Nothobranchius furzeri: one gene and its partner. The protein of the gene in region 1 interacts with the protein of each later gene in a biochemical or structural test. Links are inferred from orthologs where the notes say so. Each region holds a gene or a part of one and is shown on either strand. Other genes may lie near its edges.

What was found.
Region 2: of the proteins of abl1 (region 1) and atr, one has a biochemical effect on the other in vitro, tested with the Homo sapiens proteins (2 studies listed by BioGRID, with this or other methods). The link is inferred for Nothobranchius furzeri from reciprocal best matches to the Homo sapiens genes ABL1 and ATR.

The regions. Positions count from the first base shown.
Region 1 is NC_091746.1:53,702,779-53,706,597, reverse strand, and holds part of abl1 (tyrosine-protein kinase ABL1), read right to left. Parts: intron 3,095-3,819; coding exon 2,822-3,094; intron 2,682-2,821; coding exon 2,597-2,681; intron 2,452-2,596; coding exon 2,274-2,451; intron 1,083-2,273; coding exon 898-1,082; intron 818-897; coding exon 665-817; intron 593-664; coding exon 503-592; intron 384-502; coding exon 255-383; intron 1-254. UniProt on the Homo sapiens protein: Non-receptor tyrosine-protein kinase that plays a role in many key processes linked to cell growth and survival such as cytoskeleton remodeling in response to extracellular stimuli, cell motility and adhesion, receptor endocytosis, autophagy, DNA damage response and apoptosis.
Region 2 is NC_091758.1:22,151,508-22,156,024, reverse strand, and holds the start of atr (serine/threonine-protein kinase ATR), read right to left. Parts: upstream 2,862-4,517; 5' UTR 2,710-2,861; coding exon 2,657-2,709; intron 2,543-2,656; coding exon 2,451-2,542; intron 1,302-2,450; coding exon 1,149-1,301; intron 1,055-1,148; coding exon 144-1,054; intron 59-143; coding exon 1-58. UniProt on the Homo sapiens protein: Serine/threonine protein kinase which activates checkpoint signaling upon genotoxic stresses such as ionizing radiation (IR), ultraviolet light (UV), or DNA replication stalling, thereby acting as a DNA damage sensor.

The DNA of each region.
Region 1 (3,819 bases):
CCAATTTCTAAATACCAGCTGTTTGGTGACGTCTACCGATAGAATTATTTCCCACTGAATGGCTTAGAAAGCAGTCCTTTCGGCTCGGCCCAGTAAAATGGAGCAACGCAAAAAAACTGTGAAGGTCTGGTAAAAAATTACCCAGAAGTTCCGAAAGTGGAAATAAGTCCAACACCTTGAAGCCCAACCAGAACTAAAAAGATAAATCAACCATAAAGAAGACAAGCAACCAGAGAACGTGACGTGCATCCCACCTGGACTGTCTCTGTCCCTGTTTTCCGTGTTTCTGCGGAAAGGTCTGGTCTTGGTGGGCAGCTCTGGAGCCTGCTGGGTGGAGCCTAATGTTGTCTTCTTCCCCTTTTTCCCCAGCTCCTTCTCAACCTCTGTAATTACACAGATCATGTGTTAACATTTTCAAATACCACTGTGATTCGTTTCTTTTAATTAGGATATCTATAATTCAACACTAATTGTTTTTCTGATGATAAGAAGCAGCACTGACCATCAGAGATGCTGGATTCCTGGAACATGGTCTCAAAGGCTTGGTGTGTTTCAGCAAAAGTTGGCCGTTCCACAGGGTTCCACCTCCAACCTGACAGGAAAAGTGGAATATGCATCAAAACATGTCCTGAAGAAAAGAAAATGGCTGGATTTTTGTACTCACAAGCTGTCATGAGCTCGTAGACCTTCTCTGGACAGCCTTCAGGTCGTTCCATGCGGTAGTCTCTTTGCAGCAGCTCATAGACTTGTGACAGGTCTATGCCAGGGTAAGGAGACATGCCGTAGGTGGCAATCTCCCACAGCAGCACACCAAATGCTAATCAAGAGACAAAAATAAAGAGTTTACAGGAAGAGTTAGATAATGTAATAGGGGAATAAAAAAATAAGAAAACCTACCCCAAACATCAGATTTATTAGAGAATGTGTTGTAGGCCAAACTCTCTGGAGCAGTCCACTTGATGGGGAACTTGGCACCAGCATGAGCGGTGTACGTATCTCCAGTCATTAGGCGACTCAGACCAAAGTCTGCAACCTTCACCAGGTGGTTTTCACCCACCAAACAGTTGCGGGCAGCCAAGTCCCTGAGGATAAAGACTAGTTAAAGGGACAATTTGCAACTTTTTCATATTTTTAAATCATTTTCCTCTGCCAGTATGTGCTAAAATGACCCTTTACAGGATTAATGAAAGGCCACCCAGCCCCTATTGCCCCCTGTGGCCAGAATATTGTACTTGCAACATCACAGCTGCTGGTCCGGTCTGCTGGGACTAAAGTCTAATTTAGACTTCGTCTGCGCCGGGACGGAGACACGCAACGTCATTATCCATCCTCGCAAGCCTGCTGGAGATCCCTCGTAAGGACAGGCGGAGTTGAGCTTTTTTCTAAACATCTGTTCGACGAGACGGAGAACGCAAGCTTGTGATTGGTTAGGACGCTGCTGTCGTCTACAACCCCACCACTGCGCCCTCAAAAACAAAGAGAGCCGAGGATATCGAGCGGCAGACACAGAGAAGCTTGAAGAAGACTTTGTGGAAAAACTCTAAAAATATGAACGTTTTATTCCCCCGTGACTGGAGGAGTGAAAAGATGCGCAGCAAGTGTTTAATTTGTGGACGGAAATGACGGGAAACATGGGTTTAGAGGTGGTGAGTGCATGAAGAGGTGGAGGAGAACGACGGACAAATTTGCCCGTGTAAAAGTATGAAATAAAACTAACACAAGGATACCCCAGAACAGCGCTACGCCCTCTGTTGTCTTGGCGGGGAATTGCTTTGTGACACTTCCCAGCAAACGGAAAGTATGAAAGCAAACAGTCTCCGTCTGTGCGTGCGTGTCTCTCCCTTGTGGAGCTGATGCAGAAGTATGAATTAGACTTTAGAAAAAAATGAGCTGAGGTACCTGACGCAGCAGTCTGCTTCCATCATGTTTCCTGCATGTTTTAGATCATGAACCCAGCTGATTTGTTTAATTTAGTGATGAATCACTCCTGTAGACACTTAGGACCGCTGGCAGACGTTTCAGCTGGTAGATTGAAGTGTTAAAAAGATGAACGCAAAGCGAGGAGGAGAGTAAACTGACACAAGGGGGTGCTAAAAGCAAGCAAAACTGCTTAGTATCCCTTTAATAGGACTCTATGTAACACACTGACACTGTAGGTAACGGTAATGGTAACTCACTGCCATTAGTAGGATAAAGATATGTGAAATACCATCTACACACGGATGTTGCAGCATCAATGACCCTTCAGTTGTTCTATAATTGAATTTAGCCACCTGTGTATGAAGTTTTTCTTCTCCAGGTACTCCATGGCAGAAGAGATCTGAGTGGCCATGTACAGCAGCACCACGGCATTGACCTCTTCTCTGTTGCACTCTCTTAGGTAGTCCAGCAGGTTTCCGTGGGTCATGAACTCTGTAATAATGTAGAACGGCGGCTCTCGTGTGCACACACCTGCCAGCAACGTGTATAAAAAACGAAAACAAAGTTAGACTTTGATGCCTCCTTAATCAGATTTCATGAAAGGTTACAGCCGTGTTGAATGAATCTAGTGAGACATTTGGAGAATTTTTCATATGCACATGTATTTAGAACATACCCAACAGCTGCACAAGGTTAGGGTGTTTGATTTCTTTCATAACAGCAGCCTCTTTGAGAAACTCCTCCACCTCCATTGTGTCTTCCTGCAGATTTGACCAAAAGAAAAAAAACTGTAAACTGGGTGCAGTTGCTTCTTTGTTGCAGCAGATGGCAGCATTATTTAGTCAGATTCACAATGTTTCCACCGGGCACAGCTACATTAACTCCCGTCCTTTGTTCATACCTTAAGTGTCTTGACAGCCACAGTGAGGTTGTATTTCTTCCAGACACCTTCGTAGACCTCCCCATACTGGCCCCCTCCCAGTTTGTGCTTCATGGTGATGTCAGTGCGCTCCATCTCCCACTTGTCATAGTTGGGAGAAACTCCATAGATGGTGGGCTTGTTGCGTTTTGCTGCTGGGTAATGCAGAGTGGTGATGAGTCCATCCTGCACGGTGGAGTGGTGGTGCACCAGCTCTGCTAATGTGTTGAAACGGCTCTCTGATGAGACATACAGCTGATGGGAGAAGAGTTTTTACAGTCAATCAAATATATTAGAAACATTATTTCAGCACTAACACAATCTAAATTTACTTTATTATTTAAGAAAAAGACTTTTTAACTGCGTTCTAGTGCTAGAAAGTCTGGTCTGAAAACAAAATGAAATGGTATAATCTGGAAACAGTTATAACTGGAAAAGTTGTGCTCTTGGCCAATTCCAAGCTTGCACGGCATTTGTCAGGAAGCTGGTGGACAGAAGGATATTGGTCAGGGCTCAGTGGACACAGACTTTTCCATTATTCAAGTCTTACATAATACTAAAAATGGTTTCCGCCAGTATGTTCCGTGTGAATTACTTTGCATTTTATTAGCTTGCATTGTGCAAGACTAGGGGGACACAGAAGACAGAGGTAAAGAATACTCTTAAAAACCCTTAAAAGATGTGCACAAGCGTAAAAATAGAACTAATTGGACAAATGATATGCAGTCTTGATATACTGGAACCATCGGTTATCCTGCCACTGAGTGAGTGGAAAACGATGCGAGAGGAGAAATATCCATGTGTCTGTGTTTGTGCATTTGCTTTTTCATGTGCGAGCAGACATACTTGGCTACATCTGTCTGCACTAAGCCTTTCTCAGCATGGGTGTGAATATCTGGGTCAGGCCTCCTGTTCGCTGCTTGTTACCAGAAGCACAGTGGTGGTCAAAGACATTTTTGTCATAGCTAAAGTTCCTGAAG
Region 2 (4,517 bases), on another chromosome or scaffold:
CCTGCATCACTGTCGCTGTCTCAGATTTCAGTGCGGCTTGAAGAAACCCTTCTGCACACTGGAAACCCCAAGCAGTGAGGTGGTAGAAGGAATAATAAATAAATAAAACTTAAAAAATTTAACAATAATGAACAGATTCATACTTCTGCTTGATTTTCTGTCCCAATGGTGGCTGCCAAGGTTCTGCAGACATCTGTGACCCTCTGCTTCCTCAGCAGCACAGCACTCTCATGAATCTCAGCCACAGACAGTAAAAAACGGAACAGCAGGCAAACAGATTCAGTAACTTCTGACCCCAGTTTAACTCCTGCCCCTCCAAGAGCACAGACACACTCAAACATCTGTGAGAGGTAGATGGACTCAAAGTCAGAGGGAGAAATGTGGGACGACTGAAACAAACAGCGGGTTAAGTTGATCAGCTCTCCTCCATAGGGTTGGCTCTCGTTTGAGTGTTTTGCTGCGGATGTGTCGGAGTGCGTTTCCAGCAAATGAAAAAAGGCCGTGAAAAATTTGTGACACTGCATCTCGGGAAACCTCTGCAGCTCTACCAGTTTCCTCAGCAACACCATGGAGACCTTCCTCAGCCTGGTGTTGCCGTTAGCCAAGATGGAGCATGCCGTGTCCCAAGACAAACTCAGGTCCCGACAGGAAATGATTCCTCTCAGAGAGTCACTTGTGATACTGAGAGTCACAGCAGTCAGCGACTCCAAGGCAGCAGGAGAGGAGAGTAGAAGGAGAGTAGGGGTGAGGTAGACGGAGGCACGAATGGAACTGATGCTGAAGCATTGAAGCTTCACAGGCCATCTGTCCTGGATGTGTGCACCCACACTGTGTCCAGGTCCTGCCAGTGTCACTATGTGAGTGTGCAGGATGCTGCTAAGCTCCTGGGTCAATGATATGACTTCTTCGGTGAGGCAGCTGAAGATGAACGGCATCCTGACTCTTAGAGTGTGTAGTAAAGAGCACAATACGGCAGAGACGCGCCCGTGAATGACATCACAGCCTGGAGCTGCTGCCACACGAAGCAAATGCAGCATCACCCATTTACTGAAATCTGAAATCAAGGCAGAATATGAAGAAAAAGACAATGTTATGTTTTTGGCTTCTTCATAATGTGTGAAACTTTTCAACAATGTGTCGTTTAGTACCAGTGCAGCTCTGTACGGTGTCTGGGTAATCAGCAGGTTGGCAGGCAGGATTTGCAAACATCAGGGACGAGGATTTGACGATGTGCTGCACAAAGTCAAGCAGCATCACACATGCTGGCTCTGAACTGGACTTTTTATTTAGTCCTAAAGCAACTTAAAAAAAGAGAAGAGGGCTGTGTTTAACAAGTCTGGAAATCAGAAACATCTCTGAGTGATATTAGAAAAAAATTACAAAAGGATTTTAGAAAATAAACACACACATCTAAAAAAACAAAATGACAATCAGATGTTACTCTCTTAACATAGGTACATAACTGACATGATGTGGGTTTATTTTTACTTCTGAAGATTTTTGACTGATAGTTTTGCAGGTTGTGTTCCAAGATGTAAAAAACAAAAATGACCAGAATATACAGACAAATATGGTTTTCAACCCTTACAACCAGTACTTGACTAAAGAGCAAGTAACCCCCTACCAGAGTCTAACTCCTCTCCCATTTCCTGTTTGAAAAGTGCACCACAAGGACAGGCCTGGCAGACCGAAAGGGCAGAGCCTCTAACACACACACACACACACACACACACACACACACACACACACACACACACACACACACACACACACAGCAGCGTTGTGATATCATAATATACCAGCTAATGTCATAGGGTACCTCTTAACCAATAGCAACGGCAGATGTAAATTCAAATGCAGTGCAGTTTTTACCTGAAGAGGAAGCAACACGGAGTTTTAGGCAGAATATTACAACTTTAATTAAGATGGACTAAGGTGCCAAATTATCCACTGATTCCCCTCTTTCCTATTCATTTTCTCTTTCCCTTTCCTTGCACTTTTAATCACAATTCTAAACTTTTTTCTTCTTCTAATTTTAACCATATTTTCACGATTTTTGGCATTCTGAATTTTTTTGTTCTTGTGAAAGGCCTCAAGATTTTTATCTTGAGAGGCGCTAAGTAAAAGATAATTTTCTTTTTTTCTTTCTTTTCTTACTTGCTTTTTAAATGAATGAATAAATGACCACTATAAAGTTAACAGTTTGTAAAACATTTGGTTTATGTATGCGATGCATTTTTTATTTACTTGTTTCCATTAGGTTTATCAAAAATTGTTTAATACCTGTTCAGGTACAAGGGTCACTCCCCACCTAAGAGCACGTGCTAAAATTATTATTAAAACTAATAACCTTATAAGATCTAAAGGAAAAATAAAGGAAAACGAGCTTTTATTTGGCGCTGAATGGTCTCTGTTGGTTCGGTTTTTGTCCCCCGTTAGTAATGACTTACCGACGTCCACGTCAGTCAGTATCCTGTCAATAAACTGGCAGAGGATCTGTCGAGGTTTCTGCACGGCTGTTTCGTACTCAGCAGCGCTGGCACTGCAAACAGATAAACGATGTAACTTATAAAAAGAGTGATAGTTAAAGAAATAAAGTGAAGCCTCAGTAACAAACAAACGATTAGCCACTTAGCTTTTGGCTAACACTACTCACCTAGCTAGCTCTTGAAGAGCAGGAATCATCGCAGACATTTCAAGCCCGTCCATTTTTCCTCGTCTGCTTATAGTGTCGTCGTTCAAAGCTTCTTTAAGGTACTACTAGTGAGATATAACAGGTTATTTTAGCCAGAGTGCAAGTCAAATAGCTGCCCATCGTGCCAAACGCTTTCGAAAAGTTTCGCTCCAAACTGACGTAGTTTGTTTTCATACGGCACGCACGAAGGCCCAAAATACCAAACAAAAACTCAAAGCCTTCCGAAATTCTCCTGATAAAAAGATTAAAAAGCATGATAGATTGAATAAACCAACGTGTGTTCACATGTCCGGTTCATTTGAGCTAGGCTCTGAAAGAACAGGTGGTATTACAACTCTGCAAATATAATTTTTATGTTTAGTAATCTTTATTTTAAAGTAAAAAAATATCCTGAAAACAAAACAGTGAATTAATGAAAGGAATAAGTTCTGGGATGAAAATTATGTATGCCGTGCACTGTTTTGACATCATGGTTTATTATTGTCTGCAGTGCAGGTTCACTCAAGGTTGTTTTTATAGTTGCAGGCATTCTGCCATTGTGCTGCGTCTGTTAAAAGAGGAAGATATAGGGAGGTGGGCAGAATTATGAAAAGTTCTTGTACTTTGCTTTTGTCATCATGTGCCTGTGTCTTGTTGGACTGTAATCCTTGGTTCTGGGCTCATTCTGTGATCTTCATAGAGCGAGACCCAAACACTATTTATGCCTTTGGTAATAAATAATATGAAAACACATAAGTTCTATCTCTTTATTGTGTAATTCACAAGTTCGGTGAAACATTTCCACCACAGTTCTCAAAACATATATAGATGTTATATATAAAACTAATTAAAGAAATTCCTGTTTGAACGTTTGAGTGCTTGTTTGTCTAAATAAGCAGAAGCTACGAATGATCTGAGACAAGAAATTTACTGAAAAGAAATCATTGACAGACAGAAAACACACCAAAGCAGCCGGAATCTCGCAATAAAAAAAGAATTCACATATTTTTTAATTTCTGTTTTATTAGGCAATATAAACGTGTCAGAGGCAGATATTTTCTCACTAAGTATTGCATTACTTTTTATTAACATTAATATGAAGCCGTTGTTAATGCTTTATTTAATAGCTTATTAATAATACTAATAATGCACATTACGTTAATAAAGGACCCTTATTGTAAAGTGTTACCCGATAAATGTACAATGTATAGTTTAACTGTTGTTTTTAGGGTTATAAATAATTCTAAAGCATTTGTAAATGCTTAAATATTGATTATTTGTAATAAATTATATATATAGTACCTAATACCTTGTAAATGGTCATTTAATAACTTACTAAACACTTATAAACTTATTTGTAAACATAATCACAATCCTTTATAAATTTCTTCGATATGAGTAACTTGAACAGTATCCTTAACTTATTCACAAGACACCAAGAGCCCTCTGAGGACACAAGACTTTTGATCTAATCCTTTTAATAAAGTTTGCTTTTTTGGCTCATAAAATCTTTACTTGACAGGTTGTTACAATCATATTCTGTGGTACCTACAATATGCTTTTAAATCTAAAGTGTTTTAATAATGCTGTACAGTAATGAATGATGGGTTAACATGAATGTTTATTCCTATGATTAATTTCAGATCTAAAATTACACCAGATTTGTATTTTTGTTGAATTTTTATAATGATTTGTTTATCAGTATACTCACACATTAATAATATTATTATGAATGTTTAACATATTAACTTCACTTTATTAATAAAAATGATTTACTCCACATTAGGTGAATAACCTCTAAGTGTTTGAGAAATGAGTGGTGTCTGAGGGTTTTGATAACGCC